Drosophila melanogaster: one gene and its partners. The gene in region 1 interacts genetically with each later gene. Each region holds a gene or a part of one and is shown on either strand. Other genes may lie near its edges. The genes, in order: png, mts, CycA and Pp1-87B.

Region 1 (3,563 bases):
TTTAATGCTATCTAAAATTGACTACGGACTGCCAATCTTCGGTTGGTGTGCTAAATCACACTTAAAAAAGCTACAAGTCCCATATCACGGAGCGGTCCGTCGCGCCATTCACGCATTTCCCACATCTCCAGTAGCGTGCACATTGGCAGAATCGGGTCTCCCGAGTATCCAATCACGCGTAGAAGAAACTACATTGATGCTTATCCCGAAGCTGTACACCACGTCAAACTGCCTGCTAACCAAAGACTTCGGAGCCATATTTAAACAAAAACGGAAATTCAAGTGCATATCCACCCTAAGACGTTGCGCCAACTACATCAAGCTACTTGACCTTCCCCTGCCTAAGCCCAGGAGGCCCTTCAAATCGCCAGCACTTTGGGGTTCCAAACAGCCTAACATAAACCTTCAAATATACAATGCTGCCAAAAAGGATACAGGTCGCCTAGAATACCAAAAACGTTTTATGAGCGCACAAGAAGATCTTGGTGTGAAAAACTGGATCTACACCGATGGTTCTAAAGTCACCGGCGCAACTACTTTTGCGGTTGTTGACTCTAACCGTAAAATAATTGCAGGAGGTAGGCTTCCGTCCTACAACTCCATATTTACAGCCGAAGCTTTCGCCATTCTCAAAGCATGCCAATTCGCTTCCAAAAACGCTGGAAAATCTGTTATCTGCACAGACAGCCTCTCCTCTCTTTCCGCTATACGCAACTGGAACCATAATGACCCCACAACACAAGAAGTTAGGCACATTCTAAGTTCTCACCCAAAAAAAATCACCTTACTCTGGGTTCCCAGTCATCAAGGTATTCATGGGAATGAACTTGCTGACAAAGCCGCCCAAGAGATGAGGCTTACACCATCAATCCTGTTCACTCCGTTTAACTCCAAGGACCTAAAAAGTCGAATCAAGTTATACCTCAAAGAAAAGAAACTCTCCGAATGGGCACTCTTCATGCACAGGTACCAGTCTATCAATCCGAATTGCATCATGTTCAAGCCACCAACGAACGTACATAAACGGGAATGCGCGACCTTTATCCGTCTACGCATCGGGCACACCCAATCCACACATCAACACTTACTGATGAGATCGGCGCGACCAACATGCCAACTATGCGGGGACGAGCTCACCGTTGACCATATTCTCAACGCCTGCAGTCAATTGCACTCAATTAGATCTCACTTATTTGGTACACATAGTCTCTCGAATTGTTTAAGTATCCCATCCTGTGAAAATATCTCAAAAATTTACAAATTTGTCCAAAAAGCTAAGTTTATTATATAAAGCAATTAACCCATAAGTCTCGAGTCGAAGGCCCCCGTAGCTAGTACTCATTAAATTTAATTAGGTTTAGTATTGTATACTATATTTAATTTTGTTAAATAAAATAAATAAAAATTTAGGATAGTCATACTTTTCACATGGATGGACTTTTTGAATGGGGTTAGTTCACGATGCGTTAGTTTGATTAATTAACCAGACTCTAATAACTTACTTTCATTGAGCACTGTTGCTGCTGGCCAGATGAGCAATTTTCATATGGGGTTTCCGAAGTTCCGAGTTTTCGGCTTTTTCCGATGGAACTGTGCATCTCTTGTTTCGAAGCAATCGATAGATGGCGCGCTTGCGCTTTTGCTGGCTAACTGTACATCAAGGCGGGATCGCGGATTACGCTTTCGGAACTCTGCGCACTCGAGATGGAACTGGGTGACTCTAAGCTGCGTGCGGTAAGGGTGCTGGGCCAGGGCACCTTTGGCCGGGTCTTCCTCTGCCACCAAAACGAGGTGCGCGGACAGCCGGAGAGGAAGGTGTGCGTGAAGCGGATCATCGTCCGGAATCCGAAGACAGAGTTGGGATTGATCAAGGAGGAGGTGTACATCATCTCGCAGCTGCGCCACCCGCACATCGTTGAGTTCCTGCGCTCCTTTAGCCACGCGGGCACTGTGAACATCGTGATGGAGTACGTGCCCAACGGCACCTTGAGGGATGTCATCCAGCAGCTGCCGTCAGGCACCGGGGGAGTCAATCAGGAGCGGCTGATGGGCTACTTCCGCGACATGGTAGTGGGACTCGAGTACCTGCACATCCGCTGCGTCATCCACCGAGACATCAAGCCCGAGAACATGCTCCTCGACGCCAACGACCGCGTCAAGATCGCCGACTTTGGGATCGCGAACGTTCATGCGCCCAGCACTCAACTGCAGGCGGGCATGGGCACGCCCATGTACATGGCCCCGGAGGCGATGTCCAGCCAGGGCAAGGTGGATTTCAAGTCGGACGTGTGGTCACTGGGGCTAGTCCTCTACGAGCTGTGCCTCGGACGCAGCCCCTTCGCCGCGTTTCTCGACAAGAACGCCACCCCTGCCCTACTGCACACCGTAGTCCAGGCGCTGGTCCGCCCCCGGCTCGACTGCCAGCTCATCCGGCGTCTCTACGATCCCGTGTGGGCGCAAGTTTGCGAGCTGATGGTCGTTTACGAGCAGGAGCGCCGCATCTGCCTACCAGACATCTTCCACCTCGACGCCGGCATGACTGTGACCCTCTACAAGCATTACTTCAGCTACAGCTACTAACGGAAGCCAATGGTCAGCTCACCAGCACGAGGAGACCTCAACAAATATTTCATTGTACTTAAGAACTAGGCTAGCTTAAGCGATAAATTAAGGTGTGTGCTGTGCTTTGTGTGCGCCTGTGCTTTTGCCAGGGGATCTGTCAGCTATAAACAGTATATAATGTATATTCCAAAACAGTCTCGCTCAATGTCATTAACGTAGTCTTTAATTTACATTTGTTCACCTATTGTACAGTAACATTAATCCTCTAAAGCTTCTGGCCCTGCTGCTGCAGCTGGATCTTACGCTTCAGACTCTTTACCAGGGCGTTCTGCTCCAGCTGCTGCTTACTCCTCTTGGGGGCTACCTGCTCATCCCCATCCGCATCGCCGTTTGCAGCGCCGCCCTCCCCCTGCTCCTTTCTGCGCTTTAACTTCTCGCCGATGATCTGCTGCATGCCCTTGGTGGGCTTGTAATGGGAGTGGGTGGGATCGATGTTGTACTCGTGCGACTTGTAAACGGCACTGAAGCGATTATCATTCAGGTTTACCTGGAAGTCGTCGTCCAGCTTCTCCGCATTCTGCGGCTGATTTTTCGATTTCTTTAACTTCTGACGACGCTTTCGCTTTGAACCGCTCGCTTCTTGCTCCTCCTTCTTGAGGATTTTGGTCAGACTGAAGTGTTGCTTCTCGTCGCGCCCGTCGCCATCGTCCAGCAGTAGCTCAAGCTCCTTCTCTTGCCGCTTCGCCTCGACGTCCTCCTCTCCATCGTCCTTTCCCTTCTTTTTCTTTTTCTTCTTGTCCTGCTTCGTTTTAGGGGGAGCGTAGTCTCCATTAGCGAACTCCTCGGCGAAATAGGCGTCATTCAAATCGATGCCATCGGGCACCATGGACTCATCGCTGTCCTCACCGGCATCGCCTCCTCTGGCTTCGATCTGGCGCTGGCGGCGCTGTTCCTTGCGCTGCCTGTTCTTCTCGCTGCGTTTCTGGATCACCTTCTCGATG
Region 2 (7,898 bases), on another chromosome or scaffold:
AGCGGTTGGGCGAGAAGCACAGGGCGTTGATGATGTCGTTGTGCTCCAGAGTGTACAGGTTCTTGCCGTCATTGAGGTCCCACAGCAGGGCCTTGGAGTCCTTGCCACCTGAGGTGCACAGGGAGCCATCGGGCGAGACGGTCACCGTGTTCAGGTAGCCGTTGTGGCCGTGGTGGTTGTTCTTCAACTTGCAGTTAGCCAAGTTCCAGACCTTGACGGTGCGATCCCAGCCGCAGGACACGATGATCGGGTTGGAGTGGTTGGGCGAGAAGCGCACGCACGACACCCAGTCGGTGTGGCCATCCTCCTGGATGGTGAACTTGCACTCAGCCAGGGTGTTCCACAGCTTGATGGTCTTGTCCCGAGAGCCGGACACGATCTGACGGTTATCGGCCGAGAAGGCAACCGACAAAACGTCCTAGAAAGCGAACAAGCATTTGACGATTAGCTAATGGTATTGGTATGGTTTTCATAAAAATAATATATTTACTGGATATTTCACTGACCAACTGAATGGGCATAGTCCCAACTCAATTAGTCAGTGAACGGAATCCAGATGGGTTTCTTGCAACTAATTAGGAATCAATGGGTATCAGAGATTGTTTGCCTACTTACGATGGAGCTTCAAGCAATTTATAGCCGAGACTCGAGCGAAGGGTGAAGCGTACGTCGTACAGATGTCAACCAGTAATTCTGCCTCGCATAGGCGCAATATATATTTTTTCGATTTGTACGCGGCAAAGGCGGGCCTAACCTCACTCCTAACCTTACATTTAGCCTTTTGCCGGTACAGATCGGTTCAAAATCTCAGTTCCCTAAACGAACTAAATGCAATTGGAATCTTATCCCACCTTAGTGTGTCCCTCGAAGCGACGGGTGGTCTTGCCGGCGGCCAAATCCCACAGGCGAAGGGTCTGATCCCAGGATCCGGACAGGGCGTAGTTGCCATCGGAGGAGAGCACCACGTCGCTGATGAAGTGCGAGTGTCCGTAGAGACGCTTCTGGGGGTAGCCGTAGTTGGTGTCCTCGTCGCGGGTCAGCTTCCACACGATCAGGGTCTTGTCTGCGAATCGAGATGGTGGCCATTAATATACGCACGTGCTACCAGATAAATCCGAAGAATTTCAATGGCGATTACTTACCACGGGAGGCCGAAATTATGGTGTCGGGATCCTTGGGGTTGGTGGCGATCTGGGTGACCCATCCATTGTGGCCAATGAGGGTACCGCGCAATTGCAGGGTCTCGGACATCTTGAGTTTATATTATTTGCTACGGAGCGCGAAGGAAACACGTCCAAAGGCGCTGCAAGCTGGCAGAAAAAGAGGCAGTTCCGGTTCCAGTGCTCGCTAAGATGCCAACTGTCAGCGAGCGTTCAGTGTTGGACAGGACAAAACTATCGATAGTTTGAATTTTCTGTTACAAATAATACGTGTAAAATGTAACGTCAAATAATAATATCAAAAACTTTAAAATATATATAAAAAAAATAAATACTTTTACACCAAGTATTAATATTATTATATCTAAAGAACCCCAGAAATATTGAAGTTTAGTTTTAAAACAAATTGTGCTATTATTTAAGAAATAATCGACGCTAATGCACATCTATGAAAAGACTACTAAAGGATTTTAAAACAATCCCAATATCTTGTTGCCCAAATGCCTATGTACATACTTTTATTTTGTCACTATCACGTAATAATGTAAAAAAAACGGTGAGCGTTGATCCCACTTTATTTTCTAGTTTTACTTGGTAACTGTTGGCCAAATAGTAAGGATACCATCCACAAGTTTTAGTCGGTATTTTTGTAGAAATGTCAAGCATGCATCGCTAATCGATACACACACACACAGCGCGTTCTTAAGCGTTTCGCGGCAATCGGTCACACCGAGGGCAGTCTTTCCCTTCGTATATCGTGTCGTCGTCTCTTTTGTGAACAAAAAATACGAAGAAAATCGCCCAAATCGAGTTGATTCGATTGGCAATTGTGTGGAGATAAACGAGTGAATACGCGGTTGGCAATCGAACGCAACAGTAGTTGCTAATTTTCCTGCACCCCTGAGTTATAATAAAAGCCGTCAAAATTGAATCGACAAAGATTGACGAGACTTTTTCTTCCACCACAACTGCGATGGAGGATAAAGCAACAACAAAAGATCTTGATCAATGGATTGAGCAGTTGAACGAATGCAATCAGTTGACAGAGACACAAGTTCGCACCCTCTGCGACAAGGTAAGGCCCGGTCCTTGCCCATTTTCCCCATGCGAATTAGGAGATGTTATAAAAATAATTTTCGTCATTGCATGCGAGCGAGCGATTTTTTTTTGCAAATGGTGCTCCAACGCTGCGTGTCTCTGGCCCTCTCGCTCTTTCCAATGGGGAGAGGCGCTGAGCGGAGAGCGCGAGAGCATGATTCATGTCGTGCCCTCTTGCTCGCACAGTAGCGGCGGCTTGCGTCGCCATATTGGAATATTGGTAAATTCCAACAGCCAAGCGCCGCATTGCCGCGCACAAGTGCGAGCGGGACAACGGGACGGGCAAGTGCGTGCGTGAATGCGACAGCTAGAACAGCGCTTTGGTCTAATGGGCTAAACCTGGGCAAAAAGAGATATTTCTTTTTGTATTATTGTACAATTTGATTGTTTAACTAAAGTGCATTGTGCGTGTTTAATGTTGTTGTTATTGTGTCCACCGGAAACTGAGCACCCCCGCTCCGTGCAACCTCATGCGCGTTTTGTCGTTGCTGAGTAAATATTACTTAATGTTTTTGTGCGTCGGTGTGTGCGCGCCCCTAGAATATGTATCTATGTACCGTCGTATCTCAATTCTAGAATAATGCACTTGCATTGGTGTTTGTGTTCCTTTTTTTATGACCAACCATGTTCAATTAAACACTTTTGATATCAATTGTTTTTAATTTGCCGATTTTACCGTTCATCAGGCGCGTCGCGCACACAAACAAACAGACAAGCAAAAAGAGTGCAAGAGAGGGAGAGAAAAAGAGAGGGTGAACAGATAACGATTCATTGATTTAGGAGTAAGTGGGGTTATGTTTGCGTCACCCAAATATTTGTCAGTGTTCCCATTAGAATCTTGAATCTCCGTTCTCCCTCCGAGAAGAACGTTCTTCGCTCTTCTCGGGTGCGTCTTCTGCGGCCTCTCTCCATCCTTCCCGTTGCTACGAAAAGAAAAGCGGAGAGTACGCGGAGAGAGCACAAGCTGCATCAGTGTTTGTGCATGCATCTGTATGGGTGCGCTGGCCTCGTCATGAGTTCAAAAATTATTTTTCTTTTTTTTTTTTTTTCGATTTCTGGCCAAGCGGAAGCAACAGCCTCCAAGGTAATGCTGTGCATATGGCAAAAAATCTAATTGGCTCACGCACAAATCGCTCATTTGCGCCGCCGGATTCTACCCCCGGAACTTGTTGTCATGTCCCATTTCGTCAGCTGATAAATATAAGAATTCGCAAAGAACACGGCGGAATGGTCAAAATAAATGTGCAATTTTTGTTTGCTCATTTTGGCACATTTATGTTTGTAAAAACCGGTTTTTTTGATGCTGTATATTGACGCCCATCGGGAATTTTTGAATCGACCTTCATATTTTATTTTACTAAAGACGATAGAATACTTTCCAGAATCGTGAATTTGTTATGTTTATACGGACAACTTTTTATCGTACGTTCATCTTATCTCAACTTATTAAAAAGCTTTGCTTCCTTTGTTTTGATTTTCATACAGCTTATATTAGCAACTTAAACTTGTTTGCAACTGACGCAAAATTCGATGAGAAAATAGTTGAGGTTCTTCGCTTGTTGACCAAATCTTGACGGATAACCTTGGCCTTTGACAAGGTTTTATCATCCGCACATGCGGATCACTTTCGGTTTTCTCAGTACTTTCTGTTTCGCAGATATTCTGTCATGTCATTCACCATTCACCGAATTATGGCAGGTGAAAAAATAGAACATCAAAGTTTCCATATTACTTTCATTTGGTTAACTATTTACACACAAACGTAACAAAAATGTTTTGTAATTTCCGGAAATTTTGCTACATGTTTATGTTTTTCTTATAGGAAGTAGCAATGTTTAGGTACACAGTTTTATAGGGTTTTGCGGGAAGCTATTTTCAGAATTACCCAAGAGATTGAGTTTTGATGCCATTAAAATTTCTTGTGGGATGTTTAAAGAGAACAAGTGATATTTATTTCCCTCGATTCTCTGTAAAAAAACGCATGCACTTATCCAATATATTTGTTTTAATTTCTCTTCTAGTTACAAGCTATTTTTAGAGTACACTTTGAGTGTTGGCGTTGAGTCATTAAGTATAGTGAATAATGTACAAAGTACTAATCGTTTTATTTATCTTTTCTGACCCTGGAAACGATTTGGGCTAGATTATGTTAATCAGTATTTTAATATTGGTATTCAAAGTTGTTTATTCGGTTATTCGAATAGGGAGGTAACATTAAAACGTATCTCCCTAAAAATATCCATAAATAAATTGCTGATTGGTCTACTGTTTCCATTTCTTTACAGGCCAAGGAGATTCTCTCCAAGGAGTCCAATGTGCAGGAGGTAAAATGCCCGGTGACAGTGTGCGGAGATGTCCACGGTCAGTTTCACGACCTCATGGAGCTCTTCCGGATAGGCGGCAAGTCTCCGGACACCAACTACCTGTTCATGGGCGACTACGTGGACCGTGGATACTACTCCGTGGAGACCGTGACCCTTCTGGTGGCCCTGAAGGTTCGCTATCGCGAGCGCATCACCATCCTGCGCGGTAACCACGAGTCGCGCCAGATCACACAGGTGTACGGCTTCTACGACGAGTGCCTGCGCAAGTATGGCAATGCCAACGTTTGGAAGTACTTCACGGATCTGTTCGACTACTTGCCACTGACGGCACTCGTCGACGGGCAGATCTTCTGCCTGCACGGAGGCCTCAGTCCCTCGATCGACAGTCTGGATCACATTCGGGCCCTCGATCGCTTGCAGGAGGTTCCGCACGAGGGTCCCATGTGCGATCTGCTCTGGTCCGATCCCGATGACAGGGGTGGCTGGGGAATCTCGCCTCGTGGCGCCGGTTACACCTTTGGCCAGGTGAGTGTTGTCTGCATGTTGGCTATTTCTCAATAAAATTCGGAGCTGATTTGCCTAGCTTGGATACTTGGAAATTTATTCTTTAATCACATTGTAAAATTGTTAAGTGAAATACATCTGAAGACCCGATTAAAACTAAGCTGAACAAAAATTGTCTGCTCAAAAGCATGCAAATATATTCTAGATAAATTTTTTATTGATCTTAATAGGAAATTTTATCGGGGCATGCACTTGATGAAAATCAATAATCAGTAATCGAAGTCTACTGCTGATATAGGCCCAACTGATAACGCAATCAATGGAAAGAGCTTTCGTTATAAATTGTTTTGACATTTCAAACCGTCAACTACAAAACAAATTTTAACTATCCAAATCGAATTTCATTGAGAAAGAGCCAATTACTTCTATAAGCATTTTTACTAATATTTCCATTTTATTTGAAGGATATTTCGGAAACCTTTAACAACACAAACGGCCTGACACTGGTGTCGCGCGCCCATCAGCTGGTGATGGAGGGCTACAACTGGTGTCACGATCGCAATGTGGTCACAATATTCTCAGCGCCAAACTATTGCTACCGCTGTGGCAACCAAGCGGCTCTTATGGAACTGGATGATTCACTTAAATTTTCATTGTGAGTGGCAATTCGCTTGAGCTGCCTTTAAATGCGGCATGTCTGACTAATCTAATCGTTTGCATTTATTTTAGCCTACAATTTGATCCAGCACCCAGGCGCGGGGAGCCTCATGTTACGCGAAGAACACCCGATTATTTCCTTTAAGCTGGATTGCTCGCACCTACGCAGCTTACATTTACACATATTACATCGCATTATAACAACAAGAAGAACCGAAACAATATATAATATATACAAATCCAACCAGCAGCAACAAAATAAACAAAATGGCAAGTGCTGTCGAAAAAAAAACTACCATAAAAAACAACCCAAAACTAAAAACCTCGATGCATTTGTTTTGTGGAGGTCGTTTTAAACAGAGAGCAGTGGAAGAGATATTGTATAAACAAAGAAAAAAAAAGTAACCATAACAGTCGAGAACACAAAAATGCATTGAACAGTTATTGTTGTTGGCCACAGTTTAAAAGAAAAGGAAAAAACCGGAAATGTCGCCAGCGGGGGCGGCAGGCAGAAAATTTATATCAAAGATAAAGGGGAGGAGCAGAAGGAGAAGCAGTATACAGAAATGATACAATCCAATCGAACCTACCAACCAACCCAGAAACCAAGCAACAAAACCGCAAGCAACAAGAAGAACTACAACTACTTAGCTAAATTTGTTAATTTATAAAAATAACGAACTAAGCGTCGCAGCAGAAAGCCAGGGAGCAGGAGTGATGGATGGATGGACTCATGGATTATGACGTGATGTGTGTGTGGGCGGAAGGGGCTGACAAAGGACTAAACGGGACGAAAGGACGAACGCCAGGACGTAGCAGCATAAGCAAGCAGCAGCGGTAGCAGCAGCAGAAGCAGAAGCAGACGACCCACGACCGACAAAGCAGGAAGATAACGATGAAGCAGCAGCAAAAAAGTAGGAGCAGTATGTGGCAGGAGCAGCAGCGAACGCCATTGCGATGGGGGAAGCGCGGGGCGGGCCAGCGATTTATATAAAAACAAAAATTATAAAAAAGAAAATAAGGAAATACAACAAATTTAATATTACTGATTAAAATTAAATAAAAAAAAGCGAATAAAACTATTAAAAAACAAACAAAAAAGCAAAGAAAAATGATTAAAAAAAATTCATTATCAATTAAGTTCATATGTAACTTTAATAATAATAAAAGAAAGAAAAAAAAAACAAACAAACAATTCCCACCTGCCGACGAAGAGAGCCATCGAAGAGCGCGCGTTCAAGGGAGAAAGTCCTTTAAGAGAGACCCATGCGAACGATTTTGGTTTTTCGTTCTGGCAATGACGCTCCCTTTTGGCCTGCGGGCTCCTTTGGTAGTGTGTATGCGAACATGGCCAAGTTAACACGAGGCCACCACGACGAGCGGAAGTCGAGCCTCAAACGGGCCACCTAATTGAGACCACAAAGGAGGCGATATGGGTGTGGGGGAGGTGATATATGGATGGATGGCAGAGGGCAGATAGAAGGGACGGAGGTCGTGGTGCCAGCCAACCAATGATGCCCAAGTCAAAATCTAAATCAGAGCCGGGCTGCCTTTGATTCCCAGCGAAAGCGAAAGCAAAAATCTTGCCAACTTTGTATAAATTTTTGCATATTTTAGCAGCCGCCCACACGAACTGTCAAAAGTCATGTACAGTGGTCGCTCTCTATTGTTTCTGTTTACAAAGTATTTTGGAAACTATTTCGATTGGATTTGATGTTCCTGATAATTTAGTTGGTTATTTAACTTTAGCATACGAATGAAAAGTATATTAAGAGCAAGAAAGTAAACGATATATAAATAATAAACATTTGGCAATAGTAGAAACCCTAGAATATATGGATTATTCTGAGATAAGCAGTTCGTGCACCGCCAGTTGGCACTGTATCCACATGAGTTTTGGTCTGGATGAAAATCTAAATTTGAGAACATGCTGGATCGAGGATGGGGACTCTCAAGTGCCCAAGAACTTGGCGAGCAAACAACCATACCCATACGTACACCTACCGAGACTTGTCATCTATCATGCCCCAACAAACCCGAAACCAGAACAGGAGCTCCACAGGATGCTGGGGGGAGGTAATTGTCGCCCTGGCTGCTGTGGAGAGGCCATGGAGTTGGGGCTGGATTTTCAGTTGTAAAAGAGGGGAGCGTGGAG
Region 3 (8,039 bases), on another chromosome or scaffold:
TCTCATGCAAAACAGATGCAGCAAGAAGTTTTCTACGTCTAAAGCATTTAGAAATCTTGGACGTGAAAATGTTATATGTTAGCAACGATGAGTTGCTTGCGCTTCTGGAAGAATGTGCTCTTTTAAACGTACTTAGTGTCCGGTTTGCCAGGGAAATCACCTTTGAATTTGTGTTAAAAGCTTTAAGTTTGTACAGTCACAGAAAAATTAAAATCTATTTGCACGAATCATCTGTTGATTGGAGCCTTAATCTTCCGGTTCCGAAGGGCAAGAGGAACATTCAGTTCATTAACGGCTATTTAAAGAGTCCCATATTGATGAACAAAGATACTAATGAATTAGATTAATTACAAACGAACAGCATTTTTTGTTAGTTAATAAAAAAACGTTTGACTTTCGCCAAATATTGCCTTACTATATTGGTAATTATTATTTGACCCTGTAAGGTATTTTATGTATATTTCCAGAGCTGCTGGGGCCAACGATATTATACAATTGTGTAACTGCTAGTCGGTTGTCCTGCTACCTGGTCTCCAGGACATCGAGATCGCAAAGGTCAGCATTTGTGTGCAGGATCAGAATGTTGGTTAGCTCATTGTGTTCGTACTTCTTTGGGTTCCTAACTGATTTAGTTTTTAGGCCGGCAGTTGCGAAATGTCTCGTGCAAAACAATGCAAAATCCGATACACCTTTTCTTTATTTTCTTAGGGAGGCGCAGCTGCTCTAGAAAACATACTCTTCCGTTCACAAAATAATCGTGGCAAGAGTCATACATACATACATGTATGTACAATGCTGAATTAAGTCAAAAACAATACATATTTAATAGTTATGACAAATATTTAAGCCACCACGTTATGTTGTTATATTCTTAAACTTAAAAGGGTTAAGAAATCAGGATACATATTTTTTAAGAAGATTAGAAATCAAAACAATTACCATAACTGTTAACAAATTCACCTATTATTTATTATAATGAATGTTATATTTGTATTTTCTATAAATATCTCACAGCCCCTCCCATTAGAAATTCATAGGGAAGACGTATGGCGTATTTCGTTATATCTTTCTAATCGTGAAAGTCATCCGAATTGATAAATATATATACTTTTGTATTTACACTAACATATTTTTTATAAATGGGTAGCATCGTTAGGCGTATTGAAAAGAAAAAGTTTCGCTTAACTTTTTTTGGGTTTTCCACTGACAGCCAAATAATAATAATCGCAGTAGCCGAAATAAAGCTCTTTAAAAAGTTAATTAGAGAGTTGCTGCTCTTAAATTTAACGCGGTGGTTGTTGTTAATTGTGTACTTTCTGTTGCATGCAGTTCATAATTTGTTCAAAACTTCGAGCGGCCACTTTGTTTGAAAGGACTTTCGAAAAGGGGAAAAGTTTTTTTTCCTGTTTCGATTTATTTCTGGGACAGAAACGATTTTTGGAGCCACTCGAGACCGAAAGTCCAAAAGCCTAGCCATTTTTTTTAATTGTAACCTAAACATTTTTCCAAGTGTCCTAATACGTCGATTATTTAAACATTTCATCAAAAACATTACGCTTTCTATTTAATTATATTTTGATAAACAGTTGTTTAATTGATTTTTGTCAAGTTCGCTTTGCAGTGAATTCTTAATCTTAATCAAAGCAACAGTAATAACAACTTAAGCGATTACCGTGGACATAATATATGGATTATATATATGGATATAATACATATATATTCGATTAACTTCAAAACAATGCTTACAAACCCATGAAGAACTTATTCCAAACCCTTTTTATAAACCTTTAATATGTATTATTGGTTTGATCTCTAAAGCTTAGAACTAAATAAATATGCACTCATTTTTAAAAACTATGCAAAAACAATGGACTTCGGCAAAAATAAAAATTAACGTTATACACATTTTTAAATTTTGCGCACTGCTGGAGTTGCCAGTCCTAAAAAACAAACTTCTGACATATATGGCCACACTGTCGGCAAATGTCGATAGACGCCACGACCTATCGATAGCTGGACAGTGTCATCTCTAACATTTACGACGTGTTGACCGGGAAAAAATCAAAAGAAGCCAGCAATTGCTTTTAAACCACGAACCGCTGAACAAGTACGGAGTTTGTAAAATACTTAATATTAGCTAAGTCCGTGCGAGCGTAGCCAAACAAGGAAACTAATTCCAACGCTGCCGTGACACAAACTTCCGTACGAAATTGAAAGTCAAATGAATTCTGTACAAAACTGTGTGTGTGCGTGTAATTCAAGCGTCAATTTGTCGATGATAAAATTTGCCTGCGCCTAATGTACACATGTCTGCGTCTTCGTTGAGCATATGAGCCTGTGAATGTGTGCGTATCGGTGTGAGCGTCGAGCATAAGAAAGCAGCACAAAACAACAACAACGGCAGCAGCAGTAACAACAACAGCAAGAAGGCAACGACGCTAAGAGAAAGAGAGAAGGAAGGGAAGAGCAGAGCATAATCGGACTCCATTTTACAAGGCGAAAAAAGGAGTAGGAAAGAGCGCACCATGGCCAGTTTCCAGATCCACCAAGACATGAGCAACAAGGAGAATCCGGGCATTAAGATTCCGGCCGGAGTGAAGAACACCAAGCAGCCGCTGGCCGTAATTGGGGGAAAAGCGGAGAAAAATGCGCTTGCGCCGCGGGCCAATTTCGCCGTGCTCAATGGCAACAACAATGTGCCGCGTCCGGCCGGGAAAGTTGTAAGTACCGTTGCCGATTTCCCGTACATCCAGTGCCTAATTCCAATGCAGCTGCCTTTTTATATTTTTATGGTGGTGGGATCGTCACACCACTGCGACCGTGCGCATGTGTGAGATCTCCTAGTGGTGGTGGTGGTTTTCTCTCCCTTACCTCTCCCCTACCATCCCATCCTTTTCACTTCTCCATCTTACGTTACTCTCTTCTTAGAACGACCAATGCACTTACTTGCGCCTAACCTAGAACCTTAACTAACCTAGAAAAAGACACAGGCCTTGCAATTACGCGCCTTTTTGATGATTTGCAACAACAAAGCGAAGCAAGGAGGGCAAAAGCAATTGCGACATGCAACGCACACATGCGTATAGGTGCACACATACACACACACACGAGCAATACGGGAAGCCAGGGAAAGGCGCGCAACTTAAAGTTGGATCGATTTATGGGGGGGGATAATCATTTTATTTCTTTTTTGCTTACTATATTAAGGATGCATATGTAAAAGGAATTATCTTTGTGTTTTTACTTTTATAATCCCACTGCAATATTACCTAATATAAAATTATTACCTAATATAGTAAGTTGACCATATTGTTGAATTTGTCTTCTTCGTCTTCTGTTCCTTCCAGCAGGTCTTCCGTGACGTCAGAAATCTTAATGTTGATGAGAATGTGGAGTACGGCGCCAAGAAATCGAATGTGGTGCCCGTGGTGGAGCAATTCAAGACCTTCTCCGTGTATGAGGACAACAACGATACCCAGGTTGCGCCATCCGGCAAATCCCTGGCCTCCCTAGTCGACAAAGAGAACCATGACGTGAAATTGTAAGTTTCCATCTGTCACTTGGTAAGCCGCAAACAAACTTTTGTTTGTTTTTTTTTTCACTCCATTCAGCGGTGCTGGGCAGAAGGAGCTGGTAGACTACGATCTGGATTCAACACCCATGTCCGTGACGGATGTTCAGTCCCCCATGTCCGTGGACCGCTCCATTCTCGGTGTCATACAGTCCAGTGATATCAGCGTGGGCACTGAAACGGGAGTCTCGCCAACTGGAAGAGTCAAGGAGCTTCCGCCGCGCAACGATCGCCAGCGGTTCCTGGAAGTGGTTCAGTACCAGATGGACATTCTGGAATATTTCCGGGAGAGCGAGGTAAGCTAAACCAGGGACATAAACATAGGCTTCAATATGATATTATTAGATGACTTCCTCACAAAAATATTTCAAACTCACAAACTCGCTTTCATCGCGTAATCATTGTCAAAGACAATGATATTTTTTAACTAGTAACTGAAGTGGACAACTTTTATCAGGTCGAGTTTTCCTTGATTATCTTCCAGGGTATTGCAGTCATGTTTTCTGGCATAAATTTGGAATTTTTTCCCAAGGTATCTTGCGTTTTCAATGTGTTACTACTTACTTGGCCATGTGCATTGTACTTTTCTGTGCAGACGCAGGCAGACGTAATTTCTTAGGGGAAGTCGGACCCTGTCGCACCCTCCGTTGGCATTCCCTTCACGCAACGCTGCCTCTTTATGGGTTCATGGGTACACTTATTCCCGCTCGCGGGCACATGTTTGTTGGGCGGGAAGCGAAACGCTTGTCTGTCTGCGTCCGTCTCATCCTTTGTCGTTGTTGTTGACTCTCTTTTTCTCATTCGTCCAAAGTCGTAGAACACTCGGGGTACCAATGGAATTCGACTTGCAGAGGGAGGTTGACTACTATTGTAGTTTGTTTCCTACGTTAGTAAATAAAAGATTAAAAATTAAAATAAGTTTAAAAACTAAAAAAAAAATTAAAACCAAAAAAGTTTTAAAATTGATAAAGAATTTAAAAAACTAGAAAACCAAAACAAATAAAAAAAATTTAAAAATATTTTAAAATCGATAGTTAAATTACAAAACTCGAAAACAACATTAAATAATACAAAACAACAACACAAGGATTAGGTTTTGTCCAGAATGGGCGTATTCTTTATTTTCCCTTGATATTTCAGTTTTTACTAGAGATGGGTTTTTGTCTTTTTTTTTTTTTAAATTTTTAAATATTTGAAATGCTTTGTTTCCAACATGAACATTATAATTTCGTCGTGAAGATTCCCAACAAAGATTGTATTTTTAAAATAGTACAATGTTCTGGACGCCTATGGAAAGTTGCTGCACAAGAAAGTGAGGCAGCTTTCTAATCGCATCCAGCTCATTATTCTCGAATCGTCTTGGTTGGGAACTTCAATACAATCCCACTAACGTGAGTTCTTGTTGAACTGATCGTAAAAGTCATCGGAGACGGCATTGGTTAGGCCCACAAGGGCTTCCTTGCGCTGGCGATCCTGCTCCACGGCCAACTTGGAATTCGCCCGCATCAGCTCATCGAATTCCGCCTTACGTCGGCGATCATCCTCGATTTGGTGAAGGACCAGGGTGCGGTCCATATTAATGGAGTATTGCTCCCACTGTTTGTCCATCATCTGGGCCTCCGTCTTGCGCTGAATAGACAAACGAAGCTGCTGATCTTGTCCAAGACGAAACACGCGAAGTTCTTCGGGCGTCATGCCGCGATACATGAAGGCAATCTTCTTGTTCGGATCGGTGCGCGATTGAGCCACATCCGGATTTTCAGTTAGCATATCGCTGGAGAGCATGTTATAGATCTCGGCCATGTCATCCTCGTACTTTTCACGCTTTTCCCTTTCGCGGTCCAATTGCTTCTGCTTGGCCATGTTGATATTGAACTGACGCACTCGCTGGATGACTTGGTTGCGCATCTGGTGATCAGACTTGGCCATCTCCTGCAGATGCTTGTCTCTGCAACCAACGTTGTCCATCAACACATTATCGGCCTGCTTGCGAGCATCCTCCGCCCTCTTACGCTCCTGCACTTGCTGATCCAGCCAGGCTCTTTGCTGCTCCCGCTGCCGCTGCTTTCTGTCAGAGTTATAGAGGTCCTCGCCTTGAAAGATCTGGGCACTGGACACGCCCAGCGAAATGTCATTGTCGGCGACTCTTGTTGGACGTGCCTTCTTCAAGAAATTCGGATCATTTAGGTCGAATTCGCGGCGCTGCTCCTTGCGCTGATAGCGGCAGCGATAATAGTTAAGATCCGAGTCCACCACACGCTGTTTTTTCTCCAACTCCATTTCCTGGGCCAGGATCAGACGCTTCTGCAGCTGCTCCTGTTCTTCAAATTTCTTGTCGCACTCCATCTGGGCGGTTCGCTGCTTCTTTTTCTCAAGTATTTGGCGATCCAGCATTTCTAGGTCGAGCTGTGAATAGGAATATTCGGCAATGAAGCTCACCCAGTCTGCAGATGCATACTTACCCCGTAAAGACGCTGTTTGGCATTAAAAATGCGCCGCTTCCGCTCATCTTCGTACTGCTCCCGCTTCTGCAGCTTCATCGCCTCGTCGAGATCCTGCTTGGTGCATATACCGATTTTGAGCGTCATTGTGCCGGAGTTAGTTATAAAAGATGTTCAACTGTATTCGAGGTCGATATGTCTGTCTCTTCTTGTTAGTAGGATGTGGATATATGCCTGAGTTGACTTTGTTTGCCCGGTTGCTGGGTGCTTTGTTTATTGTTTGCCTCTACTACTACCTCTGTAACCTACTAGTTACAGACTATTTACATATATCTATAATAATTTCATGGGAGTTAACTGCCTTAATATAAAACAAATGCTGATGTATGTACATATATTCATGTCAATCGAATTCTTTAATTTTTGCAGCTCGAGTCGCTTGACGGTTCCAATAATCGTTAAAGCGACCATAAAATAATCACCTAATGTACATATTGCCCATATATATGTACATATATGTAGGTGTTTGGCAAAGAAATTTAAGTTCGAACTGGGAATTTCGATGCGACTCACGTACTACGAAATAACCAATAAATAAATAAAAATCGGTTAACTCCCTCCCCCAGCTGTTGTTTGCCACTTCTCCTATGGTATTTATACGCTTGATTTGATGACTGTACGGCTTTTTCTCCCGTGAAATTTGTACATTTTTGACACCTTCTTAAGATGAAACTGGGAACGGGTAGTTGGTTGCCAGATTAGAGTGTAGAAAAGGCATAAGCTATATATATGCGAATCCTAACCTAAAGTATTAAAAGTTTGGCTTAGTAATTTTTGTTAGGCCGGGTAATCTAATCGGTTTCTAATCATTTGTTTGCATGTGTTTGCATCTTCCAGAAGAAACATCGCCCCAAGCCACTCTATATGCGCAGACAGAAGGACATTAGCCACAATATGCGCTCCATCCTTATTGATTGGCTGGTTGAGGTTTCCGAGGAGTACAAACTGGACACGGAGACGCTCTATCTCTCGGTCTTTTATCTAGATCGATTTTTGAGCCAAATGGCGGTGGTGCGCTCCAAGTTACAGCTGGTGGGCACGGCAGCTATGTATATTGCCGCGTAAGTATTCTTGATAGTCCGGTAATAATGGTGTGTGTATTCATGGGGTTTATTTTTTTATTTTTCAGAAAATACGAGGAAATCTATCCCCCAGAGGTCGGTGAGTTTGTCTTCCTCACCGACGACAGTTACACCAAGGCGCAGGTGCTACGCATGGAGCAGGTTATCTTGAAGATTCTCTCCTTCGATCTGTGCACACCGACTGCTTACGTCTTCATCAACACCTATGCTGTACTTTGCGACATGCCTGAGAAGCTGAAGTACATGACGCTGGTAAGCTATTGCCAATACAAAAGAAAAAAGAAACAAAGCCGAAACTTAACTTAATGTTTACCTGACACAGTATATTTCCGAGTTGTCGCTCATGGAGGGAGAAACGTACTTGCAATATTTGCCATCACTTATGTCATCCGCTTCAGTCGCACTGGCGCGTCACATTTTGGGCATGGAGATGTGGACGCCAAGGCTGGAGGAGATCACGACTTACAAGCTGGAGGACCTAAAAACGGTTGTGTTGCATCTGTGTCACACCCACAAAACGGCAAAGGAGCTCAACACGCAGGCCATGCGGGAAAAGTACAATAGAGACACGTAAGTCGCAAACACTAGATAGCCGAAGAATGAGCCCGTGTTGACCAAATGTATTTCTTAACAGTTACAAGAAGGTGGCTATGATGGAATCCGTTGAGATGAGCAAGGACGACTTCGATCAGCTCTGTGAGGCTTACAATTGCAAGCAGAAAGAGGATGAGCACCAGCAGCCGGATATTAATACTAAATCGAACGTGAATTTGTTTTATAAGTTTTAAGTGTTTTGAGCCGCTGTCATGGCCAAATTGTATATTAGTTTAGTGTTTCCATGTAACATTATGTAGTTTTAGTTATAAGTGTACACAATGGATCAAT
Region 4 (5,058 bases), on another chromosome or scaffold:
TTATACTATTCCCAAGTATGGGTTCATCCTCACCAATATTGTCTGCCAATTCCTTGCCTACCAAGTCCAAGAAATCCTCCGCTGTCAGGCCGCTGGGTTCACTGACTTTAATGGCCATATCTGCCAATTGCAACCTGTAACCCTTATTGAGATTCCTAGCTGCCACAATAGATTTGCCCAGTTTATTTCGGCAGGGCAGCTCGCACGGCAAAATGGTTTTAGACTCAACGTGCTGAAGAGCTGCCTCTAGTTCCTCATCTCCATTTAACTTTTTAACTATTTCTTGTGGAGGCATGGGAACTGAAGAGAGTTTGAAGTTGGTGATGGCTGTAGTCAGAGCTTTTAATTCTTGCGGCTCTAGGGAGCAGCGATGATCGGAGCCCTTCTGACTCTTGTCCAGCGTAAAGTGGCGCTCCACTATGCGTGCTCCCAGCAAGACGGCGGCCTGGCTAATGATCACTCCCAGCTCATGACCCGAGTACCCAATTGCCACATTGGGAAAGCGTGTCCTTAAGACGGATATCAACTGCAAGCTGCAATCTTTTGGGTCAGTTGGGTACGATGAAACGCAGTGCATTAGAGCGTAGTCCTCTTTTCCTGACTCCCGCATAGTTTGCACAATCCTCTCCACAGTTTGCATAGTCTGCATTCCGGTGGAGATCACCAGGGGCAAGTTCAAATTGGCGGCCTTTTTGAGAAGCGGAAAGTTGTTTGCGTCTCCGGAACCAATTTTGATGAAGGGAACATTTAGAGCAGAAAGGAACTCCAACGATCTCTGTTTAAAATAGCATATACACACATTAATAACTATTTAAGCAAGAAACAAGGGAAAAAAGGAATTGTTAGTAGTAGTAATTGGTTAACAATTAATTAATATCAACCTCATCCATGGCGGAAGCCGTAAAGTCCACATTTAACTCCTTGCAGTGGGCCTGCAGCTGGAGATACTGATCTTTGGAGAACTCCAGGTACTCCTTGTGCTCCCCGTACGTTTTTCCCCAGGCGTGATCACTGATATATTCGCGATCTAGAGCGGATCTCGTAAACTTTGCTGGCAAATCCGATTTTTGAAACTTGACGCAGTGGCAACCGGCTTTTTTGGCCTCCCATATCATTTTCTTCGCTGTTTCCACACAACCTTGGTGATTTTGGCCAATTTCCGCTATAATATAGACGGAATCAACTAATTTTCCGCTTATGATATCGTTTAACAGCATTTTGATTAAATTGAAACCCGCCTATTTAACAGTTAATTAAATGATTAGCGGGCGTAGGCAGGAAATGCATAGAGTATCGAATTATCGATAACAAGACATGAGCACATTTCATACAAAATTTTTACATAGTGTGATTGTTAATATATCTATCAATATATTATTTAGTTTTGTGAGAATTTAAGGGAAATTTGGCATTTTAAATCATAACTCATGTGGAAGTTATTCCAATAAGGAAAATGAATTAACCTATGTTCTGTAAACGAATATTCTTATTGGCTTATTTGAATTTCCAATGTATTTAAATATCCCCTTGTTACCGGTATATCGAATAGCCTCGCCAAATGCATCAGTCTCCCATCTCTTTTCCACAGTAAGTCATGCCAGGCGTGCCTGAGTGCAAGCGGGATGGCTAGTGTCCCCCTGATCAGGCTGCCACACCGCTGAAATAGAGTAACTGGACGCCATGCGTTTAATCGATTACTAACAGCAGTTTCGAGCCACTATAGGGTCGAGAAGACCCGTTTCGAATGAAAATATAAAAGTAGAGCTATTGCGGAACTCTTGCAATGGATTGGAAATGTCCTTAATGTAATAAGAGTAATATTACAGCAACTTCGTTATCGATTATGCACTATATTTGCATGTTATCGATTAGATAAGATGGCGTCTATTATCTGGCCATATCCGCGACTTCCGGCAGTGTGGCAACATCAGCTAGAAGCACACTCGCCATCCCGCCCGCACTCACGCAACAGCATACGAAGAAATTTTCATACTTGTTAGCTGTGAAAAGTATTTAGCAGAAATAGATTTCGGAAATTAAAGATTTCGAGGCTATTTCGGCGCTACCAACGATCGTTCGCGGTAACCTCGACACCCAACAGCAGCACTAGTGCACCAGATCCACACTTTCGCACGCAAACATGGGCGACGTGATGAATATCGACAGCATAATATCGCGACTTCTCGAGGTGCGTGGGGCACGGCCAGGTAAAAACGTACAGCTCTCGGAGGGCGAGATCCGGGGACTTTGCTTGAAGTCGCGCGAGATCTTCCTGTCGCAGCCCATTCTGCTCGAGCTAGAGGCACCGTTGAAGATCTGCGGCGACATCCATGGACAGTACTACGATCTGTTGCGTCTGTTCGAGTACGGCGGCTTTCCGCCGGAATCGAATTACCTGTTCCTCGGCGACTACGTCGATCGCGGCAAGCAATCGCTGGAGACGATCTGCCTGCTGCTCGCCTACAAGATCAAATACTCGGAGAATTTCTTCCTGCTGCGCGGCAACCACGAATGCGCCAGCATTAATCGCATATACGGATTCTACGACGAATGCAAGCGTCGCTACAGCATCAAGTTGTGGAAGACATTCACGGACTGCTTCAACTGCCTGCCAGTGGCGGCCATTGTCGACGAGAAGATCTTCTGCTGCCACGGTGGTCTCAGTCCCGATTTGACCTCCATGGAGCAGATCCGTCGCATTATGCGGCCAACCGATGTGCCCGACCAGGGACTGCTGTGCGATCTCCTGTGGTCCGATCCCGATAAGGATACCATGGGCTGGGGCGAAAACGACCGCGGCGTTAGCTTCACCTTCGGTGCCGAGGTGGTGGCCAAGTTTTTGCAGAAGCACGAGTTCGATCTCATCTGCCGAGCCCATCAAGTCGTCGAGGATGGGTACGAGTTCTTTGCCAAACGCATGCTGGTCACCCTGTTCTCGGCGCCCAACTACTGCGGCGAGTTCGACAATGCCGGCGCCATGATGTCCGTGGACGATACGCTGATGTGCTCGTTCCAAATCCTCAAGCCAGCCGACAAGCGTAAAAAGTAATATCACACAACTGCAGCACCACGAGCAGTCTTTTTCTATCTAAAACAGATCAATAAGAAATCCAAACAAGATACAAAAGATAAACACGACAAAAACAACCACAAACCCAACCACACAATCAACCAGAAATAAAATCCTTTGAAACAACACATCAAATGATGCATGAAACGTAAGTATGGGCTGCTGACGCAGAGTAACAAACTAGTGAATCACACTCTCACCCCAACCTTATCTCTGTTTTTGGTCACTTTTATCATCGGCAGCCGGGGCGAGTCGAAATCCACAAGAAATTGCACCATTAATTTGGTATGGAATAGCAGCGCCACGATCAAAGGACATCCCCAGAGACATCCCTTCCAGCAGATGACTGCAGTTTTCCCCTTCCACCCCACACCCATTGAGATTTAAATCGCAATTACAAACACATTGACAAATACCATGATTAAAAGCCACATATTTATTTGTAATAGCCCCCGTATATATATATATATATGTATATCTACCGACCGACCAACCATTCACCCACGCACACACATGTACACACATTTGAACACCAGCGCTTTTATAGGTTTTGTCCAAAATTTAAACACTAGGTTAATCAACTGACCGTTCGAGCAGAGCACCAAGCGCATAACCATGCAGATTAGATGGAAACGGAGCAGCAGAGGAGCGACTGGACGCCAGTCGGTCACAAAGCATACAGATGTGGGGGCCCTGTAGTGCTCGTTGGCCTTAAGAGTATAGAGCAAGTGAAAACAAAACAAGAAACAAAAAATCGAAGAGGGGAAATCGTTGAACCGAGGAGGTGGAGGCGAATGCTTGCCAAGAAGTATAAAGAGGAATTATAAGCACTAAGTTTCGACCTTGAATCAGTTTTTTTTTTGTTCGTCCACAATGCAGTCCGACCGAATGGACCAGCCAGCCAGCCAGCCAGAGAAATATCTGCAAGAAAATCAGCGAAATATATTAGTTTGTCCCTAAAACTCCTTACCATTCATCAGCTATTCAAACGTCCGCTTCCCGTCATTTTAAGGATGTGTTTTTTAAAAATTAACTATTATTAATATGTATTATCAATAATCCTTTGTATTAATAAACAAATGATATAAAACGTGTATGAATTATGAAACTGATTTCAATAAACACATTTGAAAAATCCATAATACGCTGCATGCGCTCATGCTTTATTTCGCTTTATTTACATGTAAATTCCGGAAAATACTTAACATTTCTTCTAAATGAATGCGTTCTAAATGGGATGTTTTTGTTTTTACGTTTGGTGTGTGCTGGCACGTGCTGCTGTCATCTGAGATCTACTCACTGGAGCCACTGGCTTCAGCTTGGACGGTTGGGCTTGGCTGTGCGGCTTCATCGGTGGTCACCACCGAGTTCCCCTCAATCTGGCAGGCCTCCACAGCGGCAGTTATCTCCGCAACGTCCGCCGAACTTTCGTTAGGTTTCTCCAGCTCAGTCTCGCCGTTCTCCTGCTGCTGCTGCTGCTGCTGCTGCTCCGCCGCCTCAGTGGACTCGGCCACGGTCTGTGGCGCCTCCGTTGCGACCACTACTTCACTTGAAGCCACTGGCTGATGACCCTGGAGCACGTCGGGATTGATGCCGTTGATGATGGCGCGCAGACGCTGGATCTCCTCGTTGGCCAGCTGCAGATCCTGCTGCAGGCGCTCGTACTTGTCGTGCTGGTGGCGCACCACGCCGATGTGGTTACGGATGTAGTCCATGGGATTCTCGGGCCGCTCCTTGATCACGCGTATGAAGAGCTTGGTCAGCGAGTCCAGGACGCTGCCGCGCTCTAGATAGCGCCGGATCTCGTCGCGCTTCGGGTCAATGGGCTGTGTCATTGCGGGAGACTCTTGTTTAGCCAATGGCAATCAGTTTTTGGACAAAAGCTCACCTTAAAGGACATCTTTGCAAAATGGAGATGTGCGGTGTGGCTGTGGGCGCAACTTCGAAAAATGCCAAAGTCAAGCCCCCTTGAAGCCAGGGCTGCGTGC

What was found.
Region 2: of png (region 1) and mts, changing one suppresses a phenotype caused by changing the other (phenotypic suppression), as found in Drosophila melanogaster (one study listed by BioGRID).
Region 3: of png (region 1) and CycA, changing one enhances a phenotype caused by changing the other (phenotypic enhancement), as found in Drosophila melanogaster (one study listed by BioGRID).
Region 4: of png (region 1) and Pp1-87B, changing one suppresses a phenotype caused by changing the other (phenotypic suppression), as found in Drosophila melanogaster (one study listed by BioGRID).

Annotation. Positions count from the first base shown.
Region 1 is NC_004354.4:1,355,675-1,359,237, reverse strand, and holds png (pan gu), read left to right. Parts: upstream 1-1,636; 5' UTR 1,637-1,704; coding exon 1,705-2,580; 3' UTR 2,581-2,750; downstream 2,751-3,563. Other genes in the region: CG11417 (uncharacterized protein), read right to left, coding at 2,828-3,563.
Region 2 is NT_033779.5:7,825,919-7,833,816, forward strand, and holds mts (microtubule star), read left to right. Parts: upstream 1-1,731; 5' UTR 1,732-2,133; coding exon 2,134-2,235; intron 2,236-4,543; coding exon 4,544-5,107; intron 5,108-5,550; coding exon 5,551-5,741; intron 5,742-5,815; coding exon 5,816-5,888; 3' UTR 5,889-7,658; downstream 7,659-7,898. Other genes in the region: Rack1 (receptor of activated protein kinase C 1), read right to left, coding at 1-418, 852-1,063, 1,143-1,251.
Region 3 is NT_037436.4:11,827,555-11,835,593, reverse strand, and holds the start of CycA (cyclin A), read left to right. Parts: upstream 1-2,015; 5' UTR 2,016-2,525; coding exon 2,526-2,720; intron 2,721-3,347; coding exon 3,348-3,541; intron 3,542-3,611; coding exon 3,612-3,867; intron 3,868-4,749; exon of another isoform or gene 4,750-4,957; coding exon of another isoform or gene 4,958-5,977; intron 5,978-6,033; coding exon of another isoform or gene 6,034-6,159; exon of another isoform or gene 6,160-6,345; intron 6,346-6,404; exon of another isoform or gene 6,405-6,564; intron 6,565-6,909; coding exon 6,910-7,133; intron 7,134-7,201; coding exon 7,202-7,406; intron 7,407-7,476; coding exon 7,477-7,724; intron 7,725-7,788; coding exon 7,789-7,942; 3' UTR 7,943-8,039. Other genes in the region: CG43064 (uncharacterized protein), read left to right, coding at 1-347; CG7264 (uncharacterized protein), read right to left, coding at 4,958-5,977, 6,034-6,159. UniProt on the Drosophila melanogaster protein: Essential for the control of the cell cycle at the G2/M (mitosis) transition. Interacts with the Cdk1 and Cdk2 protein kinases to form MPF. G2/M cyclins accumulate steadily during G2 and are abruptly destroyed at mitosis.
Region 4 is NT_033777.3:12,422,771-12,427,828, reverse strand, and holds Pp1-87B (protein phosphatase 1 at 87B), read left to right. Parts: upstream 1-1,911; 5' UTR 1,912-2,140; coding exon 2,141-3,049; 3' UTR 3,050-3,218; intron 3,219-3,312; 3' UTR 3,313-4,208; downstream 4,209-5,058. Other genes in the region: NANS (N-acetylneuraminic acid synthase), read right to left, coding at 1-775, 882-1,217; CG17202 (uncharacterized protein), read right to left, coding at 4,363-4,896, 4,959-4,970. UniProt on the Drosophila melanogaster protein: Is essential for the regulation of mitotic chromosomal segregation as well as regulation of chromatin condensation during interphase.